Rattus norvegicus: one gene and its partners. The protein of the gene in region 4 interacts with the protein of the main gene of each other region in a pairwise test. Links are inferred from orthologs where the notes say so. Each region holds a gene or a part of one and is shown on either strand. Other genes may lie near its edges. The genes, in order: Cep63, Gnptab, Kalrn, Disc1, Dpysl2, Crnkl1 and Cdc5l.

Region 1 (3,500 bases), on a different chromosome or scaffold from region 4:
GTCTTGCATCAGACTAGCTCCGCATGGTCCCTTCCAGCTTTCTCATTCTCCTGCAGGAATCGAGATCTTTAGATAACTAACTCCTCAGCTGTGCCACCAACACCTTGCCCGTGTACCACTTGTCTGTACTCATCTGACCTCCCCACCAACCCTCACTGTCCTGCTTGCTAACCAGCCCAAAGCAGGTATCTACTAAAAATTCACTGAAGTAAGTAAGGAAGTTATTCCTGAATAAATTCATTCATTTAAGACAAACAAGCAAACATTAAGTGGAGAGCTCTGGGTGGACTTTACCTTATGCTCTACGGCCTTTTCTTCCGCCTTCTGCATCTCTGCCTTCAGCTGCCTTTCCATGTCTGAGGAGGAACACTTGGCAGAAGCAATAGTGATATCTCGCTGGTGCAACTCCCGGGTTAGCTGGGAGATTTCCGTCTTCATTCCTTCCAGGGCAGAGCTGTAAGTCTGATCAGCCTGCAGAATCTGTTCCTTCAGCTGTAGAGAGGCACAAAAGAAACATTAAAAGTTCAGAGAAAGTATTTAGGATTCAGGCATATGAATCTGCACAGCCATAATTCTAACACTTAGGAGGCAGAGCCAGACACAGGAAGACCCTAAGATTGAGAACAGCCTGCTCTGGCCAATGGTCGCAAGGCCAGACTGAACTTTGCAGGAAGACACCATCTCAACAACCAAGGTTTAGAGATGTAGCTCAAGGTTATAGCACTTGCCTAGCATACACAAGGCCCCAGAAGAACAAAGTATTTGGAGAGAAAAACACCTGGTTAATGGCTGCCAGGAGAGGGTTGTCACTTTTTTCAATAGTGTAGTCACTGGTAAATTGCTCTAGTAGATAACTCCCTATCAATGATCATGTAAGCAACCCTACTTAAACTCAGTAGAAACACAAAGAGAAAGAAGGAGACAACATAGGGAAGGAGATCACAGAAGGGAATAAAAGAGGGTACCGGAGATAAATATGATACAATACATAGTACGTACGTACATGTGTGTATGTGTGTGTGTGTGTGTGTGTGTGTGTGTGTGTGTGTGTGTGTGTGTATGTGTGAAATTGACAAGTAAATGTTTAAAATATATAGAATTTAACAAAGAAAAATATAAAAAAAATTAATAAAATAAGGTAATGTTTATCTTACCTTAAGACATAAAATTTTTCCTAGATTAAATATACATAAAATCATCAATTTACCAACTTGTATAACTATTCTGAAAATTTGGTGGTTAAATTCAAAATCATGCATTAGGTCTTAGAAGAACATGTGTTACTCAATCACAGGGGTCGATGACAAAGTCTATGTCTAATTTATGTAGTCTCTATGAAAAGACTTTCATTCTTTTCACAGCAACAAATTAAAGCGTGTTTGTTTTAGGTTTTTGTTTGTTTCTTTATCTAGTTTTCTGTTTCTCAGAAGAGAAATAACAGAAAAATAAGAGACAGAAAGGGGCGAGAACCTTTAAGGAAGATGGCTTAGTCTATCACAGGCCTGCAAGCAGGAGCAGAGAGACCTCAGTCTAGATTCCTGCACCGCCCATAAAATTCACCTTGGAAGGTTGTGTACATCTATAATCCCAGCACGGGGGAGAAAGACAGCAGACACAGGTTGATTCTGGAGTTCAATGGCCAGCTAAGCTTGTCAGCCAATGAATACTGAGTTCAGTTAGAGTCCCTGAGGCAGGTAAGGGTGTGGGGAGAGAGCAATAGGCAGACATTTAATATCTACTTCTGGATTACACACGCACATGCGTATGCACACACACATATACACACACACACGCATACACACACATATACACCCACATACACATGCATACACACATGCATACACACACACACACACACACACACACACACACGAACTAACAATAATCTCAAGAAGTAATGAAAAACACAAATTAAGCCAAGTAGAGTAACAGACACCTCTAATCTCAGTATTTAGAATTCAAAAGGCGAGAGGATCATGAGTTTGAGGCCAGCCTGGGCTACATAACAAGACTAATCCTCCAAATAAATCCTCCTAAAATTTTTATTTATTTTTGGTATTTTGAGACAATCTTGTGTAGCCCAGGCCAGCCCTGCTATCCTGTGTCTGCACCTCCCAAGGCCAGGATTAGAGTGCGTCAGCACACAGGGGACAGGACCCCTTAATAAAAAGGCTCGGAATAACTCAAGAGTCAATGAGGACATTAACTACTCCACAGCACAAAGGAAATATATATTCATCTTTAGCCAATAAGAAAATACCAAATGATACGTCATATAATATCTTTTTTGAAGAATAATAAATACACTTGTTTAGAAATCATCATGAACATATTCGATCACGTTTTTAATGTACAGGCTTTCACACTCCCCCACATGCACGATGTACTTTGATCACCTATATCATCCTCTCTTACCCTCCTTGTCCCCTGAGCAGCTTCTCCTCACAACTTCTGCCACGCTCTTCCACTGACCATCGGACAGTGTCCTGAGCTCATCCCTCACTAAGCGCCGCCCGCCCAGCCCTGAGCCCGGCACAGACGCAGGCTCTCACCTTCTTTATCTCTGTCCGGTACTCATTGTTATGCCCTTCCATCCTCTTCAGCTCTTCGTACTTCTCCATCAGTTCTTGGCTCAGCTGTTTACATGTTGTACTCACAGATTCCAAACTGTATGGCAGAAATACAACCACATATAAATAAAATTCCTGAAACTCATGAGATGGATTATCTAAGTGTACCCTCTCGATGCCCAAGATACCTCCTACTAGCACCTTAAACTTTATAGTTAAGTCACTTGCAATTCCCCTATCACTGATGCAGCAAACCATGTCAGCACTGAGGTAGTTTTGTCCTCTGTGTTTTCCTCCACTCCTTCCCCTCATTTAAACTTTACGGAAGTATAAAGACACTGCAGCTTTACTAACAGTTCTGTTCTAGTTGTACGGGTCTTCTCTGGCTCTGTGAGAGAGGGAAAGCCACCAGGGACTGTCACAACAGACTCACACTTCATCACCCTTAGCAACACACAGACACACACACCCTGCATACTCTGCAGAACCACAAGAACTCTTAAAAGAGTCCCCAGCTCATTATTCTTACTCAAGAGCTGATCTTTCTGAGACTTAAGACCACGAAGGCAGCACACCTCGCAGTCCAGTGCTCTTTTCTGACAGGATCTTTTTCACCCAAACTGCTAAGCTTTACTTCTGCCATCAGGCCGTTCACTCCGTGCCTGCCTCTTGTATCAGTGTAATCATCCCTCACCACAAAGCACTTCCTTCCCCTGACCCTTGATGACCATACCTTCTCAGAAACTAAATTGGCTCCGACCTAACCCCTGCCCCCCATTTGCCTTATATAATTCAATTTTTATAACTTGAAGATAAATTTTTCTAGAAATGTTCTACTTTAAATATGCTAATTTAAATTCCTCAACTCTTTAACATGAATATTTTGTCTCTGAAACTGAAAACTCTATGGTTAAAACATTTTACTTCTTA
Region 2 (4,149 bases), on a different chromosome or scaffold from region 4:
CCAACATGGCTACTCACAAATGTCTGTAACTCCAGTACCAGGGGATCTGACACTCTTACTCACACATATACATACAGGCAAAACACTGGTGTGCAAAAAAAAATAGATAGATAAATCTTTAAAAGAGGTGTTATTATGACGATGGCATCAAAGCCAGTTGTCTCAGTTTGAAGCTCATCTCTGCTGTGAATTAGCTGTGTTAACTTGTACAAACACCTAAGCTGCATTACCTGTGAGGTGAGTAGAATATTACTGTCCACATCACATGATACTGTGACGACTAAAAGGGTGCGTAAAGCAGTTAAGAGAATACCTAGTGAGGACTATGTGTTCGTTATTAGCATGGTTAGTATTACTGGAGCCATCAGTCACATCCAGATAGCTCTCCCCAGCCCTCCCCCCACCACAGGCTAGCTGCCACCACCTCTCCTGCTACCTGGGGACACTCTTTATTCTTCTTTCTCTCATTTAATCTAAACTTTACGATCTGTGCCTACAAGCCAGGCCTCCTGGCATAACACTTTGAATCCTAGTACTCTGGAAGCAGAGGCAGATGGATCTGAGTGGAAGGCCAGCCTGGTCTACATAGGGGATTCCAGCCAAACCTGGGCTACGTGGTGAGACCCTGTCTCAAACTCTTCAAGGCTGTAATAGATTTATTTTACACCGTGGTTAGTAAACAGCTCACTTAAAATGAACCAGGTTAAAAACATACACCGGGGGCTGGAGAGATGGCTCAGTGGTTAAGAGCACTGAATGCTCTTCCAGAGGTCCTGAGTTCAAATCCCAGCAACCACATGGTGGCTCACAACCATCTGTAATGAGATCTGACGCCCTTTTCTTGTGTGTCTGAAGTCAGCTACAGTGTACTCATATAAATAAATAAATCTTAAAAAAAAAAAATGCACCAGGAACCCTAGCACTCAGAAGGGCTGTGAAAGAAAGACTGAACTTCAAGTTCAGTTGCAAGTCTGGGCAACTTAGTGAGGCTCTCTCTTAAAATCAAGAGTCATCCACAAGCAGTAAGGCACTAACTGTGCATAAACATATCAAGTTACAAGACATGAACAAAGACTGACCAGGAGGTAGTGGGATATTAAAATACTCCACGCTTGGACAAGGTTCTCATTCTCACCAGCAAAATTATTTTTCTAGTCCCTAGAACCACTAAAATCACACTTAGAAACAGGCCATATCGTTCAGCCAGATGCTAAACACTAAACAGATCTTAGAATGTACACACTGGCAGTGCCTGGCACTGGGCTCGGGCTAGAGTTACAGCATTTATATTTAAACTGTTACCACCTCCTCCACAGAGCACACACATGTGTACTGTGCTGTTTTATAAGAGCGCTCTGTTAATTATAAAACCCTTTAAACCTCTTACTAAAACACAAGCAAATAAATAAAACAGGGAGACAATTCCAAAATCTTTGAAAGCACACGTTTTCTTCCTGTCTCTAGGGGCAGTATTTTGTTGAATGGCCGCCCCACTTGTGCCCATGCATTGCTGACCTGCTCATACCCCTCTGCACACTTAAGATAGATTATACTGTTATCGGACTACCAAGAATCAAATAACTGAAATTTAAGAGTAGTAACAAGGTATGTCTCCAAAGGAGCATAAAATTCATTTAACCTGGTGTTTCACACCCCCCAAACCGGTTGCCTGCGCCCTTTGAAGAGTTTACAGTCTAACCAAACTGCTTTACTCAACATTAATTAAGCGCAGTTCTCAGTCCAAGAAGGGCCAGCGACTTGATCTAAAATGTATAAGCATAGCCCGTGACGCAAGGGTCGGTGCTGGCTCTCAAGAGGTCCGGGGCTGGAGTCCAAGATCCGGCAGGCAGTCCTAGTCACCTGACAAGGTCCCTACTCTAAGTTCCTCTAAGATAAGCACTTGGTGCTTCCCATCAGCGTGTGCATTCTCACTAGCAAGGCCTCCGGCCGCCGACATGCTGCGGCAGTAAAGCAGCAGAGCAATTATGAAATGGGAAAAAAGTTAATAAAAAAAATCCCCCTTTCACTCTGCAAAATCCATATGCAAAACCGCGCAAAATTCACATGCAAAACCGCGCGTGCCTCTAGGACAAAGTCTGAGATCCAGAAGAAACATTAAGGCACGGTATTTTGTCAAAGGTGAAAGATTAGTAGGGTGGCACCGCAGGATTGGATCCGAAGGAGGCCACGGAATGAAGGATCGCTACAGAAAAACACAAACCCTAGGAGAGAGTTTCACCAGCGCAAGGCCTGAGAGCCAAAATCAAATGACCGGAGGACTCTTGGGGACACCCTGGAGAAGGAAGGGGACCCATCCGCACGCTAAGCATGGGAGGCCCGGACGTCCAGTCCAGCTGCTCAGGCGAGCCGGGGAGAGGATGCGCGCTCATCGCGCCTGGGTGGGCCGTGTGCTGGTTCCCAGGCTGCAAGGAGGATGGGGAGGCAGGAGGGAGATTCGGGGTGCGGGCACTGCGGGTCTCGGTCCGGGAGGGCTGCGCACGCGACTCCCGGGGCTCGGGCTCCGCTACTTACCTCTCCGAACTGGAAAGCCGAGACGATGGTGACCACGACGCCCACGAAGCAGACGTAGAGCCCATACCTGTGGGATAGGCAGGTATAGGTCTGTCTCTGCAGGAGCTTAAGCAGCATCACCCCGGCCCCGCCACCCCACGCCGGGAGGAGCCCGCGCCGCGCCACCGCCTCAGCGAGCCGCCATTCAGGGGCGCCCGGCCGCGCCGCCGCGCTTAGCTCACAGTCCCCGGCTGCCGCGCATTGTCGCTCCAGCGACCGACAGCCCGCTGGGCTCCACGCCGCGGCCGCCGCTTCCGGGAGCCCGGAGCCCACGCCCTCGGCGCGGCGGAGGCGGACCCGCGGCCCGCAAGGCGCCCGGCGCCGCCCGGGGTTGGCCTCGGAGAGGCGGCAGCGGGTCGCCAGCGCCACCTGGAGGGCGGAGGGGCAAGGGCAGGCGCGCGCCCTCCCATCTGCGCGTGCGCTGCGAGCCCGGCCCTCTGCCCTCTGCCCCGTGGGACCCACCCAATCAACAAGTAACCAACCCAGGCTGTCCCCTGAATTATGCAGATGGGCAATCCTGCTGGGTCCGAAAACACAGCACCGGTCTCAAGTTTATCTTTGAAAGAAAATTTGAAAGATCGTGGCTAGGGAATGCACATTCGGCTTGCCCCAAATGGCATAATCTACTCTAGACGTTCCTACCCGAGGTATAATGGTATAATTAGTTTTGGAAAAACAAAAGTCACTAATCAAGGCACTTACCTAATACATTTTTGAGGTCACAGGTAGACTGACTGTGGCAAAGCAAAGTAAACTAACGGGTTTAGATTCTATCTGATGCCTTAGTTTTTGATGGATGAACTGCTAAGAACATCTATTACTTTTTTCTTTCTATATTTACTTATTTGCGTCTGTTTGTGTATGCATGGGCACTCCTGTGTATGTGTAGGATGAGTGTCAGTCATTTCTGTCCTTCCATGCTGTGGGTTCAGGGAATTGAACTCAGGTAGTCAGGTTTGGACGCACCTTAACCTGCTGAACCATTTCAGGGACCCTCAAATACAACTGAATAGTATAGCCACCAAGCTATTAGCGCAGACAGAGAGATGAGAGTGTCTTTCAAAAGAACCAGAAGTATCCCAAGATAATTTGGCTCTGGTCTGCAACAATTGTGTCTCTCCACATTCGCAAAGCTTTGTGATTTGGGGCTTTGTGGAATCTCTTTGTGCTTTTCTGTCTGGGAACTGCAACTTAGAATGCCATGAATATTTTCTACACACAAGTTTATCTGGACAGGGAAGTAACTCGGTAATAGAGTGTTTGCCTAACATGGAGGAAGACCTTCGTTCACTCCCAGCACCAAAAAGAAAAGGACAAAGCAAACATTACCAACAAAGTATCTTTTCTGTACTTAACTAGGAAATCAATGATACAGGGCACTTAAAGAAGATGCCGTAGGGAACTCCACCCTGACCCCCCTTACATACCATCATATTATTATTCGAGAGACCTTTTGGGTGAATATTCTGAAACTCAACTTTACTCATTCACTCTGTGTGTGTGTGTGTGTATGTGTGTGTGTGTGTGTGTGTGTGTGTGTGTGTGTGTGTATCACAGCACTAAGGAAGCAGAAGCAGG
Region 3 (3,500 bases), on a different chromosome or scaffold from region 4:
CAGCATCTTCCAAGTCGATGAGTTTCACTCGAGGCACTGGGATCCGGAGGTCAATGAGGAGGTTTTCAGGCTACAGGGACCCAGGAAGGTGGGGACAAGAGAGGCAAGATCAGGTCTTGGTTGACCCCCAGCTAGAATTTGTTAGCTAACAACGTTCTATTATTCTTTGATTCAGTTTGTGTATGTGGAATACTCCCAGTGCAAAGGAGGTTTCAAACTCACTAAACTCTGTTTCAGTTGCACTTTAGATAAGCTGGCTGGCATTGGGGGAGGAGTACAGGGCTAACTGTGTACTCCTGTCTGGCCTGGAACTTACTTTGTTTATCAGGCTGGCCTGGACCTTACAGACATCCTCCCATCTTTGTCTACTGACTGCTGGGTTTAAAAGGTAAGGGCTGCTGCACCCAGCCTGTACTTCCCCACTCTAGTGTTAGAGATCCAACCCAGGGCCTCATGCATGCTAGGCAGGCGTTCTGCTACTAAGTCATATGCCTATTTCAGAAGAGCACGTCTTTCTTACCTACCCTTTGCTCTTGCAGTGAGTTACGAAAAGAAATAGCTTTTTAAGAAAAAAGAAGCTTCTCAGTAAATGTGTGTGTGTATACATGTATATGTGTGTATGCGTGTGTGTGTGTGTGTGTGTGTGTGTGTGTGTGTGTGTGTGTATTGGTGGGTGGTGGTAACAAAGGCCTTTAATCTCAGCACTTAGAAGGCAGAACAAGGTGGATCTCCAAGTTCGAGGCCAGCCTGGTCTACAGAATGAGTTCCAGCATAACCAGGGCTACACAGAAAAACCCTTTCTTGCAACATAATTATTTCTCTTTATGTGTATGTATTTATATGAGTGGCTTCCATTTGGGTGCAGGTGTGTTGAAGGCCATAAGAAAACATCAGATTCAGTGCAGTTGCAGTTACAGGTGGTTGTGAGCCAAGCAATGTGGGGCTAGGGAAAGAACTTGGATCTTAAGCACTGAGTCATCTCTCCAGCCCTCAGAAGCTCCTTTTTCTTACAGAACAAAAGAGAATAGGACATTAAGTGATGTCTATAAGGTTAGACTACTTGGCTAAAGCTTTCACGCCTTCTCTTAGCCCACCTGCCACCGTCTCTCAGGTGTGTTCTCCTTCATTCCTGACATTCCTGAACAATGCACGTAAGTAGGGTGAAAGTCTAGTCCTAGTTTAATAGTCACATGACGTCACAGTAAGTAGACAAAAGAAATTCAAACATTCCCTTGAGCAATAGTGATGCATGCCTTTTATCCCAGCACTTTGGAGGCAGAGGCAGGCAGATCTCTGAGCTCAAGGCCAGCCAGGTCTACAGGGTGAGTTCCAGGACAGCCAGGGCTCCATGGAGAAGCCCTGTCTTTATAAATACAAAACAAAGCAACAACAAGAAAAAGAAATCCAGATTTGTATTCCTCAAGGAAATGGCTGGTAAGTTGAACTCGTCTGCTTCACTTCAACAGGTACTGATTTTCTGTTACCTTTATGTCCAAATGTGCCACCCTGCAGTTGTGAAGGTACTGCAGAGCTTCCATGATGTCTCGAATGTAGAAAGCTACCTTTTCTTCCATCAGCTCATCGTGATTCATTAGGTAGTCCAAGAGTCGGCCGTCATCCATCCTGAAAGCAGAGGAGGGCAGGGGTGGGGGATAGAGAAATGACCCATGTATATAGCTTTAAAAGCTCTAAGAGGTCTCATTAATAAAGTTTAGTATTGCACCACACACGTACTCTAGAGCCCAAAGAAAGTGCCACACTCAGAACTAGAATGAATCAAGTTACAAACGTGTTACGCTGCAGGAGAAATCCTTATAGCCCCTGGCTTTGAGAGGTTAGGTTGGGGGTTAGGGATTTAGCTCAGCGGTAGAGCACTTGCCTAGCAAGCGCAAGGCCCTGGGTTCGGTCCCCAGCTCCGAAAAAAAGAAAAAAAAAAAAAAGAGGTTAGGTTGATGGAAATAAAAAAAGTCTGGTGCCAATAGTGAGCCTCATGTATGTTAAGGGTGTTTTCACTTTTAACGTTTTTAGATGGGAGAAATGTGAAGGAAGAAAGGTTTGTCCTCAGCATAATTGATCTCTTCCTAACTCCTTCGCCTTTCTGACAGCTTGCCAGCTTTTAAAGACTGATTGAAAATGGGATAAGTGGAGCCAGCCATATGCAGATTTGGGTTCTGGTTCTGCCTCTTGCCAGCTGGTCGCTGTGAATAATCACTTAAACTCTCTGTGTTTGGGCTTCCCTGAAAAGGTAACATCTTTTAAGGTGGGGATAGCAACATCAACAACAGCAACATCAATGACAAAATAAGACCTACTTCTTTGTCAGGCTTGTGCGAGAGTCAGACGAGGCAATGAGGATTTAAGGCATTGTCTGTACTTATGCTTGTGGCGGTTTAAATGAGAATGGCTCCCTTAGGCGCTATGTTTGAATGCTTGGTCCCCAGTTGCTGGAACTGTTTGGGAAGGATTGGGAGGTGTGGCCTTGTTGGCGAGGGTGTGGCACTGGAGGAAGACTGTGAAGGTTTCAAAAGCCCATACCATATCGAGTTAGTTCCCTGTCTTGTGCTTGTGGGTCAAGATGTAAGCTCTCAACTGCAGCTCTAGAACCATGCATACCTGCCTGCTGCCATGCTCCCCACCATGATGGCCATGGACTCACCCTCTGAGACTGTAAGCCCTTAATAAACTCTTTCTTCTATATGCTGCCTTGGCCATGGTGTCTCATCACAGAAAGAAAGAAGTAACACACAGTACTGAATAAATAGTGGCTATTTCTAGGCCACTTTTTTTTTTATTTGTTCCTTGTTGTGGGACCCTTCTCTTTTATTGATGGGTGAATGATGGAGCCCCTGGAAGGCTCCCTACCTCCCTCTGATCTTCTAGGGATGAGGCAAGAGAGGCTGGAGCACAGAGACGTGGTACTGTCTCATCACATGAAACAAATAGGGGTACATTTACAACACGGCTCCAAGCAGTGTTCAGCCACCCACCCTCCTTAGAGCTATTCTTCAGCCTGCATCCATCCGAGACCATCTCCATCTCCATTTCCTGGTAGAGGAGGGTTCCACCAGTTATCCCTATTGACTGCAGAGAAAGACTGAGCACTCGATTTCACAGGCCTTGCTTTCCACACACCTTCCCTGAAGATCACATCCAACAGAGCACAGTTCTATGTTCTCACAAGCTTGACTAAGGTGTGGTCTCTAGTATTTCCCATGTCATTTTTAAAGCATCATTTATCTCCTGGTCTTTGTCTCTTTAACTATTGGACTTACAGCCCCTAAGGATGTGAGCTGTCTTTCTGTGCCTAGTCCTACTGCAAACTGATGCCAAGGCAAGTTGTTATATCCATGGATGTCTCCCTACTCTGAGGAGAGAGGGAGGGAGTGTGAAGCCCAGCATGGCCTTGGTGGGGACGGAGTGACATAGTTCCTGCCCCTGGGACTGGGCATCTGTGCTTAACAAAGGCAAGCAGATCGCTGAGTTCTTTTGCAATGATAAGA
Region 4 (4,274 bases):
TCTAAGGGACTGGCCACTGGGAGCAACACAATGACTGTGTGAGAGACACAAATTGAATTTGGTGATGTTTGTTTGTTGAGGGGAGGAGAGGCACAAAGGTGGGAGGGTGGCAGGAATAGGAAGTGAGTGGGGTGGGATGCATTGCATTTGTATAAAATTCCCAAATAATCAATAAAAATATTACATTAGGGGGAAGGCGAAGTTCTTCCTGTGATTTACTCTCATTTTGTTAGGGTCTGCAATTATGAAAAATGCCAGCTAGAGGTAGGACGGTGTGCTGAAGTGCTCACCTGCTTGTCTAGCATTGCACAAAGTCCTAGGTGTGGTCCCTAGTACTGCATGTAGGTAGGTAAGCAGATGGCTGGAGATAGGTAGGTAGGTAGATAGATAGATAGATAGATAGATAGATAGATAGATAGATGATAGACATATAGATAATAGAGAGATAGATGATAGATAGATGTAGATAGATAGATAATAGACACATAGATAATAGATAGAGAGAGATAGATGATAGATAGATAGATAGATAGATAGATAGATAGATAGATAGTAGACATAGATAATAGATAGGTAGGTAGGTAGATAGAGGTAGATAGATGTTAGATAGATGTTAGATAGATAGATGATAGATTAATGATAGACATATAGATAATAGATAGATAGTAGAGGTAGATAGATGATAGATATAAATAGATGATAGATAGAGAGATAGATAGATAGATGATAGATAGAGGTAGATAGATGTAGATAGATAGATAGATAGATAGATAGATAGATAGATAGATGACAAAATAGGTATAAAAGGCAGAAACAGACCAAGCATTGCCTTTGACCAGAAAAGGTCTACTCTCAACCTGGGCTCTACCTCATGGCTTCCCTTCAGCCAGTGATTGGAGACACCAGCACCTGGTTTCTGAGCCTCAGTCCTTGTTTAACAACCAAAGCCACAGGCAGGTGACTAGCCCTTGCCTCATGGAAGAAAAGATGAGAATGGTAGCACCAGCCCTCACAGGTTTGAGGAGGACCTCATCCTAGGGCAGGAGCAGGTGCCTGGCCCATGCATTTTCTGCAAAGGTGGCACCAGCCCCAGTTCCAGATGTTCTGCTTCTCCTGATCCTAGGGCAACACTCAGTGTGAACGGTGCTTTCTCTTTCTGTCAACAGAAGAGAGAACCGAGGCTGGGAGAGGCAGCTCAGAATGCAGGGTTCTCATCCAGGGCTCTTTTTGCTGTGAGCAGAGTCCTGGCTAAACCTTGACAGTCTCCACATCAGATGCCAAATGTCTTTTAAAATATCCTGTAATTCAGACGCTAACTAACTCACACTGGCATTCCTGTATTACCCGTAATTATTAGGTCTTGTACGGTCAAAAAAATAAATAAATACTTAGGGACCCATGCGTAGTGGAGCACACCTGTAATCCCAGCGCTTGGGAGGCCAAGGCTAGCGAATTGGAGGCCAGCCTAGGGTATGCAGGGGATTTAAGGCTAACCTGGGCAACTAAAAGATTTTTGAGAGCTTGCTGTGTATCTCAGACACATTAAACCAGGGGTTTAATGCCCTCCTACCACATTAAACCCTTTAAAAACCCGACCAAGTCGGGAGGAAAATCAGCTCCATTTTGCAAATTGAAAAACTGAGGCAAGCCCGAGTCTAGGACGCATGTGCAGGAGACTCTCACCCTACACTCACCCATCAACCCTGTGTTTTCTAACTCCCATTTGCAAAAAAAAAATTCTTCATAGAACCTAGTTAAGGAGACAGGCAAGCGGGTGGCTAGTGCCCCTTTCACAAATGGGCAAACTGAGGCTCCAAGAGCTAAAATAAGAGCCTAAGTCCCTTGCCCTCTCTCCTTCAGCACGGCACGCCCAAACTGCAAAGCCCAGTCTGGAGCTGGGCTCCCTGCTTGGTTTTTGTTTTTTTCTTGTTTTTGTTTTGTTTTGCTTTGCTTTGTTTTTCCGTTATTCTGGTTTGATTTGGGTTTTTGAGATAGCGTCTCAGGCTGTATTAGAAAGTGTCCGCAATCCTCCTGGCTCAGTCTCTTGCGTACTAGCAACAGAGGCGTGCGCCATCACATTCATTTCCTTGGTTTTCTGACAGTGAGTTGCGGAGGTCATTGTTGAAAAGCGGCCGCCCACTTAACTCGATGTCATCACTAGGGTTGGTAGGTGGCCCATGCTGACGGGGGAAAATGGAGTGGGTCCCCTCAGCCTGCGCTGCCCTGCGCGTCACAGTCCACACTCGGAAGTGGGCGGCGAGCAGCCCCACGGGAGGTGCGGGCTGCAGTTCCCACACCTCTCCCAACCTCGCCCTGCGTCCCCACAGGGTCCGCGCCGGCCACGCGAGAGAGAGTCCCAGGACCGAGCTGCACTCAGGCGCTGCGGACGCCGCCCTCCACCGACTGCGCCCCAGGCCGCCAGGCTCCCCCCAGCGGGGACGCGCTTGGACGGGAGCTGCAGTGGCAGCCGGAGACGCGACAGCCCGCACCCGGCACGCCCCGCTCCCTGCCTCGGTTTCCCTCCCCCGCACCGGGGTGCGCCCGGATCTCGGCAGGCCGCGCTCGCCTTCCGTCAGACCCCGGGCCCTACCTGGGCAGTGGCTCGGACTGTGGATCCAAGCGCCCCGGGAACCCGCGCCCTGCATCGTGCGGCTGGCTGCGCTCCGGACGGCGGCAACGGTGGTGACTGCGACCGCGGAGGCGGCGGGAAACGGGCAGGGGGCCGAGCCGAGGGCTGGCTCCTTCCTCCTGCCCAGGACCGCCGCTTCCTCTCCAGCTTCGGCCCCCTCGCACACGCGCGCCGCCCCTCGCGGCTCCCAGACCGCAGCGCGCAGAAAGTTTTGCTTTTCACTTGAAGGAAACCAAGGAGGGGAAGTGTGATGGGGCAGGGTGACCAGGGACCGAAAAACTGGGCGCTTCCCCGACCCTGGGAGTAAAAGGCAGGGTGGACAAGAGAGGGACTTCTTCCTACCAAGTGACAGATGACAGGTTGGGGGGTGGGAGCAGCTGTTAAAAATGACTTGAGGATCGCTGGCAGCGCGGGGCTGGCCAGGAGCACACAAGCCTGTGCCAAGCTCCTAGCAGCTGGCTCACCTCCACCATCCCTTCCCTTTGGCTGCTCCAGCAAAGCACCTGCTACAGGACACTGGGTCCAGGAAGTGCCAGTCACGGGTAACCTGGCCCTCTGGACCCGGAGGCAAAAATAAACCTACAAAACTGAACTGTGGGGAGTAGTCAGCCTGAAGCCAGGAGGCCTGGCTGTGGGTGGAACGTGGGGGAGGAGTGGGACGCTAGGAAGAAGCATGGGAGAGTTTCTACAGGAAGTGAGGAACCTGTGACCACTGGAAGACAAGGCCCTGGAGAGGTGGGGCAGCCAGTTGCCTGTTACCAGGAGCCTTAACGTTAGCATGGGTGGATGGGGCTTGAAGTTGATAAAGACATGAGCAGAGAGTCTGGATTTAGTGAAAATCCAGTTGGAAAAGGGGCTGTCAGTGTCCTAGTTAGCTTTACCTGTCCGTTTGACACAGCCCAGGGCTAGGGTTAGGGCAGATTGTGTCTGTAAGAAATGTCTTGACAGTTAACTGGCCTTCGAAGGCCCAGCCCACTGTGGGCGGCACCATTACCTAGGTCTTGAACTAACCAAGAAAGCTAACTGAACTGAAGCCCATCTATGAGCCAGCTGGCAAACAGCATCCTCTGCGGTTCCTGCTGTACCTGCTTGGCAGTGAGGTGAGCTCTTGGTTGGAGGTTAATGCTGTGTGTTATAGTAAGCAGGCCTGCCTTCAGGCTCCTGCCTTGGCTCCTCTCAGTGGTGGCCTGTGATCAAGTGGTAAGCTAAAATTAACCCTCTCCTCCCCCAAGAGGTATTCCATAGCAAATGCAGATGAATTGGCCAGCCTGCCATTGAATGCTCTCAGGTATCTCTGACTTGCACCCAAGGATCGCTAGGAATATCTCTGAATACATAACATAAACTGTCTTAAAACGGGCCGGGAAGCTGGCCTGACAGCTAAGAGAACATACTGTGGACTGGAGAGATGGCTCAGTGGTTAAGAGCACTGACTGCTCTTCCTGAGGTCCTGAGTTCAATTCCTAGCAACCACATGATGACTCACAACCATCTGTAATGGGATCCGATGCCCTCTTCTGGTGTGTCTGAGGACAGCTACAATGTACTTATCTATAATAAATAAATATTTAAAAAAATAAACAAATAATTGAGAGAGAGAGAGAGAGAGAGAGAGAGAGAGAGAGAGAGAGAACATACTGGTCCT
Region 5 (3,500 bases), on a different chromosome or scaffold from region 4:
TTACAGATTTAACTGGAGACTGTTACTCCTACAGTCTAATTCTTCCCCCCATCTCTTTCCACCACAAGTGACTCTATTCTGGGCCCACATGTGACAATATTGGTGACATAATCAGGACCATCCCTGTGTCTGGCAAGCCTCAAGCTCAGCCACCTCCTAGTGACGGGAATCAGCTAGCACCAATCTTAAACAGACACCAGGCTAGCACAAAACTATGGAGTGGGGGTCAAAACTAGGGTCCGCTCAGGCTGTGTCTGAGGCCAAATTCAGATGCCTGGCTTTGAGAACAAACAAAAAGCCAGGGAAAAAAGCACATTGTCTCGAAGAAACACAAACCAGGAGACCAACATCTAAATCTCTCCAAGAGTGCAGAAGAAAAAGCCAGAACAGACCGGAGACACAGAAAAATGGTAGAGAACCTTCAAAAGGTCTAATCTGTTGCAAAATCTAGGCCAAAGAAGAAAACCAGTCTCTTCTCAACAGCTGACCCGGAAGAGTAAGGGATGGGTGATACAGACACATGGAACCTTTCCAGAGGGGCGGCGGTAGCCTGCCAGCCTCGGAATCAGCTTAATGGTTAAGTAATTGCATCATTAGGATGTCCAGTTCAAGACCCAAGGATTAATATTGAATCAGACTTTCAATTTAGTATTAAAAAAAAAAACACTCCCACCCCCCCATCCCTCCCCAGTCCCACAAAGAAAACCATTTTTAAAAATTTTTCAAAAGAAAAGAAGGCAGCTCAGGGTAATTCACTAAATCTTCCCCGTGACAGGAAGGTGCTGACTGCACAGCCAAGGATGTGATAAGGGCACCCTTGCTGGGATCTGCATGGTGGCGCATGTCTGCATGTTGGATGCAGCTCAGTGTGGGGTGGGTGGCTGGGCTTGGGTGTGGTGTTCATGACTGTGTAGGGACTTGGGTGAGCGAATTCAGAAACTCCAGGGGAGACCGAGTGCAGGGGGCCCAAGAGGAAGCCCCAGGAACTGGCTGCCCACAGCAACTATCACAGGCTCTCTCAAAAAAAGGAAAAAAAAATTGGAAGGAAGGAAGTCTCAGAATGTCCTCAGGTGTCCCATCCCCCATCCCCACGTGGCCTGCAGGCCTAGGAGCTTTAGCCCAGGCTGGTGATGTTGGCGCGGCCACCAGGGGGTGCCACAATGCGCTGGGTGGTGCGGCGGGGAATGTTGTCGTCAATCTGAGCACCTAGAGAAGAGGGAAGAGACAAAAAAAAAAAGAGTGTGAGGGTCTTCAGAAATAAAATCAGACTCTTGCGGTAAGCCCAGGAACACTCCTGGGGGAAAAGCTGAGCCAAGCACACATATCCCCACCCCTTTCTCCAAACCTCACTAACTACGGTAAGTTCAAACTACAGGAAGTAGGAGGACCTGCCTGCAGCCTACAGGTCATCTCTCCCTGGGCAAGTATAAATTTGATGCAAAGTACTAGTGAATATGGCTTTTCTGACACATGCCTCTCACTCAGGAGGAGTATGGATGGTTCAGGTAAAGAATCCCAGACCTGAAATTCCCAAACCCAGAATGCTCTAAACTCTACAACTATTTTAGGGTTGACAGGATGTGACCAGTGGAAGATTCCACACTTGACCTGATATGACTAACTGTAGTCAAACTTGAGGTACTAAAAATCCTGTATCAAATCCCCTCCAAGACTGTGTCATATGCATATGAAACACAGATGCATGGCATGCTGGCTTTTTAAGATTTTATTTCTATTTTTAATTATGTGTATTTACATGTATGAGTGCGGGGAAGTTATACACATAAGTGCAGTGCCTGCGGAGTCCAGAAGAGGGCGCTAAATCCCCTGGAGCTAGAGTTCCAAGTGGTTGTAAGCTGGCTGACATGGGGGCTGGGAACAAACTTGGGTCCCCAACAAGATCGGAGTTCATTCTTAACTGCTGAGCCATCTGTCCCTGCCCACACTTTGTGCTTGGACTTGGGTCTTAGTCACAACATAGGGTTCATTATCTACATATTTTTCCAGTTTTTAAAGAGGCAGACTAGCTTCCAGTCCCAACCATTTCTTTTACATAACGGACTGGCAACCTGTGCTGTCTATGTGAACGATTCGTAGATGATACACATTGTGACCAATCTCACACTTTAGGACAACAGGGCCTGTCTGCCAACCCAAAGCACCATGACACGGTCCTCGTTCATCACCGGCACAAATGGTATTTTCTAAAATCCGGCAGATGGGACAAGAAAAGGAAAGTCTGTAATGAACTATGCTGTTCACAGGTCACAAGGCCTTAGATATCTGTCTAAAGCTAAGGAAGTGGAGAGTGGAAAGGACCTGTTATGGGCCAGGAGAAAGAGGGGCAGAACTTTCCAAGACAGAAATCTACTCTTCTCCACTCACTGAGGTGTGGCTGTCACAACAACTCTACAGGGGGCTCTGCTGTGACACAGAAGGCCTGAGCAAGGTGAGGCTGCTGAAACTCCAGGCTCCACACTCATCCAGCACAGTTCCTCTTTAACAATGGACGTGACAGATCAAGGATTGTCCCTTCAGTCTGAAAGGGGTCACCCACGGGGAGTGTCTCAGCACCACATGGCCCATCAGAAGATGCTGAAACTCCGTTGTCATGTATAGTCTTTCCGTCTCTGCAGTGGTGGAGCCAAAAGCCTCGGAATGGCTCCACAAAGCTTGCTGAACCTACCTAGAACGCCCCCCACCCCCCACCTTACCCCCCCAGCCGTACCAGACAAGCTGAAACCAGACTGGTGCAGGTTCCGAACAGGTGGCGCCTGCTGCTTGGCAGGGGATGTCTTAGCTGATGAGGCCGGAGTGACCGTCTTGGGCGTCACAGACACCTCGCATACGGGTCCATCATACAGGCCACGAGGGACCCCCCTCAGCTCAGCCAGCTGAAACACACAATCGTCCCACAGCCTATGTCATGTTCACAGAGGACATCTTCCCTGCACCTTCTCAGTGTGATAGAATGGTAGCCAAGACGGGCCTGTGATGTGTGGGGATAAGCCCCTCCCCAGTATGGATAGGTACAACAGAGACAGATGTGCAACCAGCCCCCAAAGTTCTAGGCCAAAAGCTCTCCCAAGGTGACTCCCCTACAACAAGTTACTCAACTGGTTTCTTATAACTTTCCCCACTACGTCAACATCACCTTTGAACCCTCCAAGAAGCCCCCGGTCGTACTGTGAAAAGGGTCTTGTGTCATTTTCAGAATGAAGGTGTCTTCCCAATAGCACTCCTCTCTTATTTCCCTTAAAGCTCCACTCCCTCTCCACCTCGCAGTTCCTGACCACCAGCCATGCACTGTTCACCCTGCCCTGAATACACTGTACACCACAGATCGTATCCGTCTTCTAGTGTCTTTATCTCCACCCTTTGGCTTGAGAAACTCTTACTCAGCCTTCAAAACCCAACTGACATCTTCCACATCATTGTCCTCCATGACTCGAGAGCCGTTCTTCCCTCCTCTGGCTCCTTACCCCACACTCTGCAACAAA
Region 6 (3,500 bases), on a different chromosome or scaffold from region 4:
CAGCACACATTTATTGCTGAGCTCTCCATTGGAGCTGAGTGGTCATGTACAACGACTGTCTTAATTTCACTCTGCTTTGTGTGAAAATTACACCTTTAAATATGAATACCTGGAGTTGGGTGTCTTAGCACATGCCTCCAATGCCACCTCTCAGAAAATTGATGATTGACTCAGGCTGAGGCAAAGCTTAACTTTGAAGCCAGCATAGTACATAGACCTTATCTCGAAAACACAAAAGTGCATGTGTAGCCTCTTGAGAGCCATTTGGTATCCTGATTCAAGGGTCTTAGGGATAATGAGCTGGGGAGGCAAAGAACCAGTGCCCTCAAGCAGAGGAAACAACGTACAATGGGAACACAGATTGCCCCACAGATACGCCAGTTCCTCTCTTCCATGGTGTACACAGAAAAGAATAGAATTGGAGGGGTCAGATTCTCTCTAGGAGCCACAGATTAGAGGGTTTTCAGTGGGACAGTGACCTTCTGGCTAGTTTATGAAAATATTTTGGAGCAGGGTAGGGGCATAGCAAGAGCAGAGGCGGGGTGGGGGAGATCTGAGGATGAAGCTCCGTGGAAGAGCACTTGTGAGCCTCAGTCGAGGTCTGGGTTTGATCATCAGCACTAATTACCAAGGAGCAGGTGATAAAACCGGGAATCCGGTGAGATTTTTTCAAAAGTTCTCAGAAAAGGAGGTGGTCAGTAGCAGGAGAAAAGGGCAGTTGTGAAGAAATTAAAAGTCGGTTGACACTTGTTCAGAGAGTCAATGAAGCAGAGAACAGGAGAGGAACCAGAACAGACTCGTGGGGCTTTGGTCATGAGCAGGCATGCCATGAAGGTGTTGCCTACCAGCCTGAAAAAGGACCCAGGATGGAGAAGCTTTATGACAATATTACATATGGAAGCATTAATATAGATCTATAAATGTAGAGCTATAAATACAGAATTATTATATTAAATATGAATCTTTTCTGATTGAAGCCTCAAAATTTAATTTATAAGTAATAGGTTGTAGTTATTTTCAAGGCGTGACTAAAATGAGATTATGTTTTAGATGATAATCTTCCTACCTGCTTTTAGTTTGAAAGGGTACGAGTTATCTACAAATATGCCCTGGATAGGATTTCCAAGCAAGAGGCCCAAGAGCTCTTTAAAAACTATACCATCTTTGAGAAGAAGTTTGGTGACCGGAGGGGTATAGAAGACATCATCGTGAGCAAACGGAGATTCCAGTATGAAGAAGAAGTGAAGGTGGGCACTGCTGTAGATGGTTCATGCTGTTAGAGGTCTCTGGGCTGGTGCACGTGATAGCAAGTGGGGCTACTGATTACTCTCTCGATGACGCCTCTAACAGACTTGAGCTGTTTCAGGCAGATTAGAGTAAACGTGGCTGGTGGAAAGGAGAGCAAGCCATACTTGGATTTACTCTGCCATTCCCAGGTGCAGACACCTTTAACTAATAGCAAGCTGAAGAAATGTGGGTCCTAACACTTGGGAGATAGAGGCAGAAAATTGTTAGTTCAAGGCTAGGCTAGGTGTCATATCAAGTCTATGGCTGAAAAAAAAAATGTGGCATTTATTTGAGCTCATTTTTGGAGAAGGATGGGAGGGTCAGATGGTTCTAAACACCTGCTCTGCACGAGCAAGAGATCTACAGTAGACAGTCTGTTCTTAAGCTCTGCAGTTTACCAATTTGATTTCAGTCAAAAATAGCAGTGTTTTCTCTCACTGTTCAGTGTATCTTTTGCTTAGTCAGATTGAGATAGCTCCGAGCAAAGGACTAAGTCTGGTGTTAATTACAGTGGTAGATCAGTAAATGTGTTCAGAAAAAAATGACTGTTGATTTAGAGTCTGGTATATACCCATTATAATTTCATTTTCAACATAAGGGTATACAGTCATATGTGTAAAAAAGTACATGTATACAAGTTGAAAGCTATCCACGGTAGCTCAAACCAATGTAGTCCCAGGACTGGAGAGGCCAAGGCAAGATAATTGTCATGAGTTCAAGGCTAGCCTAGGGTGTGGAGTGAGACCCTGTCTCAGAGACAATGGAATGTCATTATCAAGCAGTTCTCATACTTGGTGGCAGCAGAGGAAAGAGTCTCTGCTTCGAGGTCCCTACCTTTTTTGTCCCTTTTGTATGATCTCAGGCATGATGTTTTAAAAATGAGATAGCAGGTAAAGATCTAAAGGAGAAAATTACTAAAATATAGAAAGTTTGGTGTCTCCTTACAGTTCTGACAGCCTGTGAAGTCTGGCTCTTGGTTCTGTGTTTATCGGTTAAGCTGGGGTCTTTTTCTAGGCTAATCCACACAATTATGATGCATGGTTTGATTATTTACGCTTGGTGGAAAGTGATGCAGAAGCGGACACTGTGCGGGAAGTCTATGAGCGAGCCATTGCCAATGTGCCACCCATCCAGGAGAAGAGGCACTGGAAACGCTACATCTACCTCTGGGTTAACTACGCACTCTATGAAGAGCTGGAGGCCAAGGTGAGAAGGCGAATGGGGGCAGCCATGAATACCTTTCTTACCCCAGCATCATGACCTTGCCTGCTCTGTGTATTAACCGATAGCTACAATCTTTGAGACAAACAGTTTTAAATTTTTTTAGGGCCCTAGCAACCAATTTACATCATTCAAACCATGCCTGTTAAGACATAGGGGTGTTTTGTTTTAAAACTTTGAGGCACAGTAAGATAGATAACATTTAAAACTTGAAACAACCAGTGAAGCAGTTTAATTACTTATAGTTCCCCAATTTGTGTTTTATCACAAATAAAGATTAGGGCCAGATTGTATATTTTTGCTTTTGGTAAAAACCAAGTGGCATTTCCAGAAGCCAGTAATAGGTAAAGACTATCCTCTGTTCATCTGAGACTGTAACATCTTTCTGCTGTCCAGCTAAGGTCTTTCTACATTGATGCATTCAAACATGGCCACATTATTACTCTTAGAAAAAGTTTGATGATCAAAAGTAGTTGCTGTTTTTGACCATAAATCAATTTTTAAAAATAGTGTCTTGAGAAATGGAAGTCTGTTTTTACTACAGGTATGAAATAAATTGACAAAATAAATATTAGCATTATTTATCTATTTCTCATATTAATACAGGATCCTGAGAGGACAAGACAGGTGTATCAAGCATCTTTGGAACTAATTCCTCACAAAAAGGTACACTTGCTGGATCAAAATCACATTTTATTATGTATCAATTGAATTTTCAAGTGAGTGGCACCATTAACAGTCTATTATGACACGTCAGTAATGCAGTTACCAGTGTAGAAATCCTGAGGAGGGTGGGGATTCAGAGAGGCAGAGTGGAAGAAAGAAGACAGAACACATACATAGGGATTCCAAGTGGGTCTTTTGATAACTGAAAGCTTGCTTGTGTGCTTGAACACATGATGTCTTTGCATATGTTAAGATGTTTACCTCTACCGCATTTCCCAAAATGCAAAACAAAAGAACAGTCCTGCTTTGGAAGTGCTGACTGAGTT
Region 7 (3,500 bases), on a different chromosome or scaffold from region 4:
CTCAGGTTCTCACAGTTCACAGAGAAACCAACAGCCAGTATCTTTGCTATCAAACTAGTACCGCAGCCACTCGTTGCTCTGGCTGTGACTGCCATCCTGTAAGAGCTCTGCAGTCTTCTCCACACCCACACACACTGCAAAGAGCCCTGACTGCCCTGAAGCTGGGCAGCGGCCACAGTGCACACCTAGAAGATAAATCTAAACCCAATTTGGCCAAAGGACCTGATGTTCTGTGATGTGCAGCATCTTCAATCATAAAACTAAAAGATGCGGGTTCCAAGAGCCACATATATATGACAAGCCACTAAGTTTCAAGAAAACTAGTCGCAAAATTGACTTACTCTCCCACACTGTCTATCCTTTAACACAAAAGAAAATGAGCAGAGTCTTCAGAGCGGCAACCGTTTGTTTGATACCCATCTGAGCATAGGCAGGGCTAGATCAGAAAGTCAGAACCCACTCCAGTCTAGATACCTAGATACCTTAGAGATACCTGCTAGAAGGAGGGGAAAGGAAGGACTGGGCAGCCCTTCACAGCTCCTGAGCGATTAGGCAGCCCATGCCGTTACCTCTAGCCTACGGGGAATAGCAGAGTCTTCGTGTTTCTTGAGTTCCTCAAAGGTGCGCAGCTCCAGGTGCGCCTGCTCGATTTGGTCCCACAGGTCGTTCAGCTGCTTCAGGAGCCCCATGGCGCGGGACTGGTAACCACCCAGCAAAATCTTCATCTTTTTTTCCATCTTTGCAGCTCTCTTGGCTTCTGTTGTCATGTGACCCCTGTTTATCTGGGGAATTGGGGAAGGAGCGGAAAATCACTCAATATACATGAAAAAACAGATTACTATGTAACAGGGCTAAACTAAGTACCTAAAGCAAAACACACCAGAGTTCCTCCCACCTTCACTGATACAATGTGTAACACAAAATGGCCTCAACAAGGAATTACCTTATACCCAAATATTCCATAACTTCACCCAAAATTCACTCCAAAGAGGGCTTGAATTTTGGAGCATGGAAAAACTGCTCTCTACCTTGTGCAAATGATTTCTGTGACCATTCATCAGTCATTCTAGACTGCCACCTAGCCATCTTTTACATACCAAAATTCACTTCAGTAGCACATGTATTCCCCGTCTTACACCGACCAGTATTCCACCCGAGTGCAGCAGGCCACTTGAAATGGTACTGTACCCACCCACCTCCAGATTACTGCACTGCAAGGCTAAGTCAAGTGAGCTAACAGGGGTGGGGAAGGATACTGCATGTGTGCATGTTGGAATATGGGATGGAGCTAAAGCTACTTTAAATAAAGCTCCTTTAAAGCCATCGTTCTCTCAACATCTATACAGGCTAAGCTTTTATGCTTCTGCAATTGACTTAAACCCAAGTATACTGCTACTGTTCCTTATTTTCCCCTCATGGGCAGTAAATCAGTAAGTTCACAGCATAATACATCTGCCAAAGGAACCAACAACTACTGTCAGGCAGGCAGCTCAAACAGTGGGTAAGAAACAGTGGGACTACCCAGCTGTTCCAACGGAGCAGTTATCCAACCTCAGTGCCTCCATTTCACCAGCAGTAGTAAAACGGTGGTCACTGCTGACAGTTAGCTGTGAAACTTAAAGGAGATGATGTACACAAACCCCAGACATGCAGAACCTGGCAGAGAACAAGCAATCAACAGTTATGAGCTGATTACAGTGATGGCTTTATAGACAGGAAGAGGCCAACCTTTCATTCCTCTGTAATCAGTAAAGGACTGAGAAAAAGACTTGAAAATCTTTAAATTTCAACTTCAACAAAAGACCTGTTGTGGGGGAAGAGCAGAGAGCAGCTGTGCTTTCTTTTGGATGAGCAGTGTGCCTTCTGCAAATCACCATATCAAAGACAACACAGGACCTCTCTTTCACAATGCAATGATGTCAGAACATAAGCATATTGGTGCTCTTTGACTTGATGAGGAGATTTTTGTTTTAACCAGGAAGTTCAAATGAGGTGAAGGACCCCTGAGTATACTCAGTGCCAGCCATGTCCTTCCCAGCATATACTTAAGTGACGACATGCTATGGCAGAAGCATATATACCTTGTTCACAGCAACACGACTACAACCCCATCATATCCATGGTATATGGATAAACAAAACGAGCTGTTACCTACACAAGAGAACAGCACACAGCCATACAAAGCAGGAAAGTACTAACACGCTACTTGTGAACTTCCAGAACACAATGTTTAATAAAAGCTGCCAATCACAAAAGCCAACACGCAACATGACTTCACTTCCATGAAGTATCAGGAATGGGCAAATCTATGTGAAAAGGAACTAGTGCAGCCTTCAGCCCCACATTGAGAAGAGGAGGAAGTGATTGGTGTGGGTATAGGGGTTCTTCCTGGTGTGAAGAAAATGTCCTAAAGGTACAGTAACATCTATGCAGCTCTGTGAGTACAGAAGAAACACCTATCTCTTTACCCAAAAGCAGCGGTCTGAGCTGTGTGATTTACACCTCAGAGTCCAAACAATGGAAAGAGTACTTCTGAGAAACAATTCTTCTAGACATAAGAACTCTCCCCTGTCCTTGAGAGCATAAGCAGAACTTTCTGGATCTAGGTTCTAGAAAGATGGTATGGAGACCTACTTACGCTAGAACAATAGTTCACAAAGGACACGAGTCAGGCAGCTCACAACCTCCTCTAAGTCCCAACTCCAGAGGACCCAATGCTCTGGCCCTCTTGGGCACCTGTACTTAAGTGCACATGCCCACACACTACACACACACAATTAAAAATAAAAAAAAATACTTATTTTATTTTGCAAAATAAAATATTTTAATTTTGTCTCACAATGCAGCCAAGGAAAGAAGAGACTATTTTACATTTACTCTCTTCCATAGAAAACATTTTTGGAGCATGCCTTTTTTAACTAGTGAATAGACCATGACTAAACTTATAATTATTTGTGAAGCTCTTCAAAATGACCAGCCCCAGGGGTTGGGGATTTAGCTCAGTGGTAGAGCGCTTGCCTAGCAAGCACAAGGCCCTGGGTTCGGTCCCCAGCTCCGAAAAAAAGAAAAAAAAAAAAAAATGACCAGCCCCAGTTTCTGATTCAATGATTTCAGAGCACTGTTTCCCAAGCCCCCAGTAAGTTCTAATGAGCAGCCAAGATGGAGAACGGATCCAGCTGAGATCAGCAGAGAACTGGTATCAACTGTCTTCTCAACCACGTCCACAACAGTCCTCCCGCCACAAGAGCCGAGCAGCAAATTCCACAGAGCTACATCAAGGTCTGTACTCAACACGATCTAATACCCATATTAGAGTTCACTCACATGTGGGTTTCAATACACATCCAAAAACTCTTAAAAGCATAGAATTTCAAGTTAATACGGTATGTCTTAAAAATTAGTTATACAAATTAACATTTTCATTGGTTAAGATATCTCAATTAGCTTTACATTGACCACAGTCCATAGATATTTGATTTCCAGCCTGGTTAACAGCTTAA

What was found.
Region 1: the proteins of Disc1 (region 4) and Cep63 interact in binary tests that used the Homo sapiens proteins (3 or more experiments, as listed by UniProt). The link is inferred for Rattus norvegicus from reciprocal best matches to the Homo sapiens genes DISC1 and CEP63.
Region 2: the proteins of Disc1 (region 4) and Gnptab interact in a two-hybrid assay, tested with the Homo sapiens proteins (2 studies listed by BioGRID and IntAct). The link is inferred for Rattus norvegicus from reciprocal best matches to the Homo sapiens genes DISC1 and GNPTAB.
Region 3: the proteins of Disc1 (region 4) and Kalrn interact in a two-hybrid assay, tested with the Homo sapiens proteins (2 studies listed by BioGRID and IntAct). The link is inferred for Rattus norvegicus from reciprocal best matches to the Homo sapiens genes DISC1 and KALRN.
Region 5: the proteins of Disc1 (region 4) and Dpysl2 interact in a two-hybrid assay, tested with the Homo sapiens proteins (2 studies listed by BioGRID and IntAct). The link is inferred for Rattus norvegicus from reciprocal best matches to the Homo sapiens genes DISC1 and DPYSL2.
Region 6: the proteins of Disc1 (region 4) and Crnkl1 interact in a two-hybrid assay, tested with the Homo sapiens proteins (2 studies listed by IntAct). The link is inferred for Rattus norvegicus from reciprocal best matches to the Homo sapiens genes DISC1 and CRNKL1.
Region 7: the proteins of Disc1 (region 4) and Cdc5l interact in a two-hybrid assay, tested with the Homo sapiens proteins (2 studies listed by BioGRID and IntAct). The link is inferred for Rattus norvegicus from reciprocal best matches to the Homo sapiens genes DISC1 and CDC5L.

What each region holds. Positions count from the first base shown.
Region 1 is NC_086026.1:112,050,147-112,053,646, forward strand, and holds part of Cep63 (centrosomal protein of 63 kDa), read right to left. Parts: intron 2,668-3,500; coding exon 2,553-2,667; intron 493-2,552; coding exon 295-492; intron 1-294. UniProt on the Homo sapiens protein: Required for normal spindle assembly.
Region 2 is NC_086025.1:24,686,668-24,690,816, reverse strand, and holds the start of Gnptab (N-acetylglucosamine-1-phosphate transferase subunits alpha and beta), read right to left. Parts: upstream 2,801-4,149; 5' UTR 2,650-2,800; coding exon 2,533-2,649; intron 1-2,532. UniProt on the Homo sapiens protein: Catalyzes the formation of mannose 6-phosphate (M6P) markers on high mannose type oligosaccharides in the Golgi apparatus.
Region 3 is NC_086029.1:80,298,749-80,302,248, reverse strand, and holds part of Kalrn (kalirin), read right to left. Parts: intron 1,624-3,500; coding exon 1,485-1,623; intron 71-1,484; coding exon 1-70. UniProt on the Homo sapiens protein: Promotes the exchange of GDP by GTP. Activates specific Rho GTPase family members, thereby inducing various signaling mechanisms that regulate neuronal shape, growth, and plasticity, through their effects on the actin cytoskeleton.
Region 4 is NC_086037.1:69,910,502-69,914,775, reverse strand, and holds the start of Disc1 (disrupted in schizophrenia 1 homolog), read right to left. Parts: upstream 2,801-4,274; 5' UTR 2,646-2,800; coding exon 2,591-2,645; intron 1-2,590. UniProt on the Homo sapiens protein: Involved in the regulation of multiple aspects of embryonic and adult neurogenesis. Required for neural progenitor proliferation in the ventrical/subventrical zone during embryonic brain development and in the adult dentate gyrus of the hippocampus.
Region 5 is NC_086033.1:45,182,354-45,185,853, forward strand, and holds part of Dpysl2 (dihydropyrimidinase-related protein 2), read right to left. Parts: intron 2,895-3,500; coding exon 2,729-2,894; intron 1,207-2,728; coding exon 1,115-1,206; 3' UTR 1-1,114.
Region 6 is NC_086021.1:153,797,615-153,801,114, reverse strand, and holds part of Crnkl1 (crooked neck-like protein 1), read left to right. Parts: intron 1-1,076; coding exon 1,077-1,247; intron 1,248-2,301; coding exon 2,302-2,493; intron 2,494-3,114; coding exon 3,115-3,174; intron 3,175-3,500. UniProt on the Homo sapiens protein: Involved in pre-mRNA splicing process. As a component of the minor spliceosome, involved in the splicing of U12-type introns in pre-mRNAs.
Region 7 is NC_086027.1:23,096,897-23,100,396, reverse strand, and holds part of Cdc5l (cell division cycle 5-like protein), read right to left. Parts: exon of another isoform or gene 3,115-3,500; intron 783-3,114; coding exon 570-782; intron 1-569.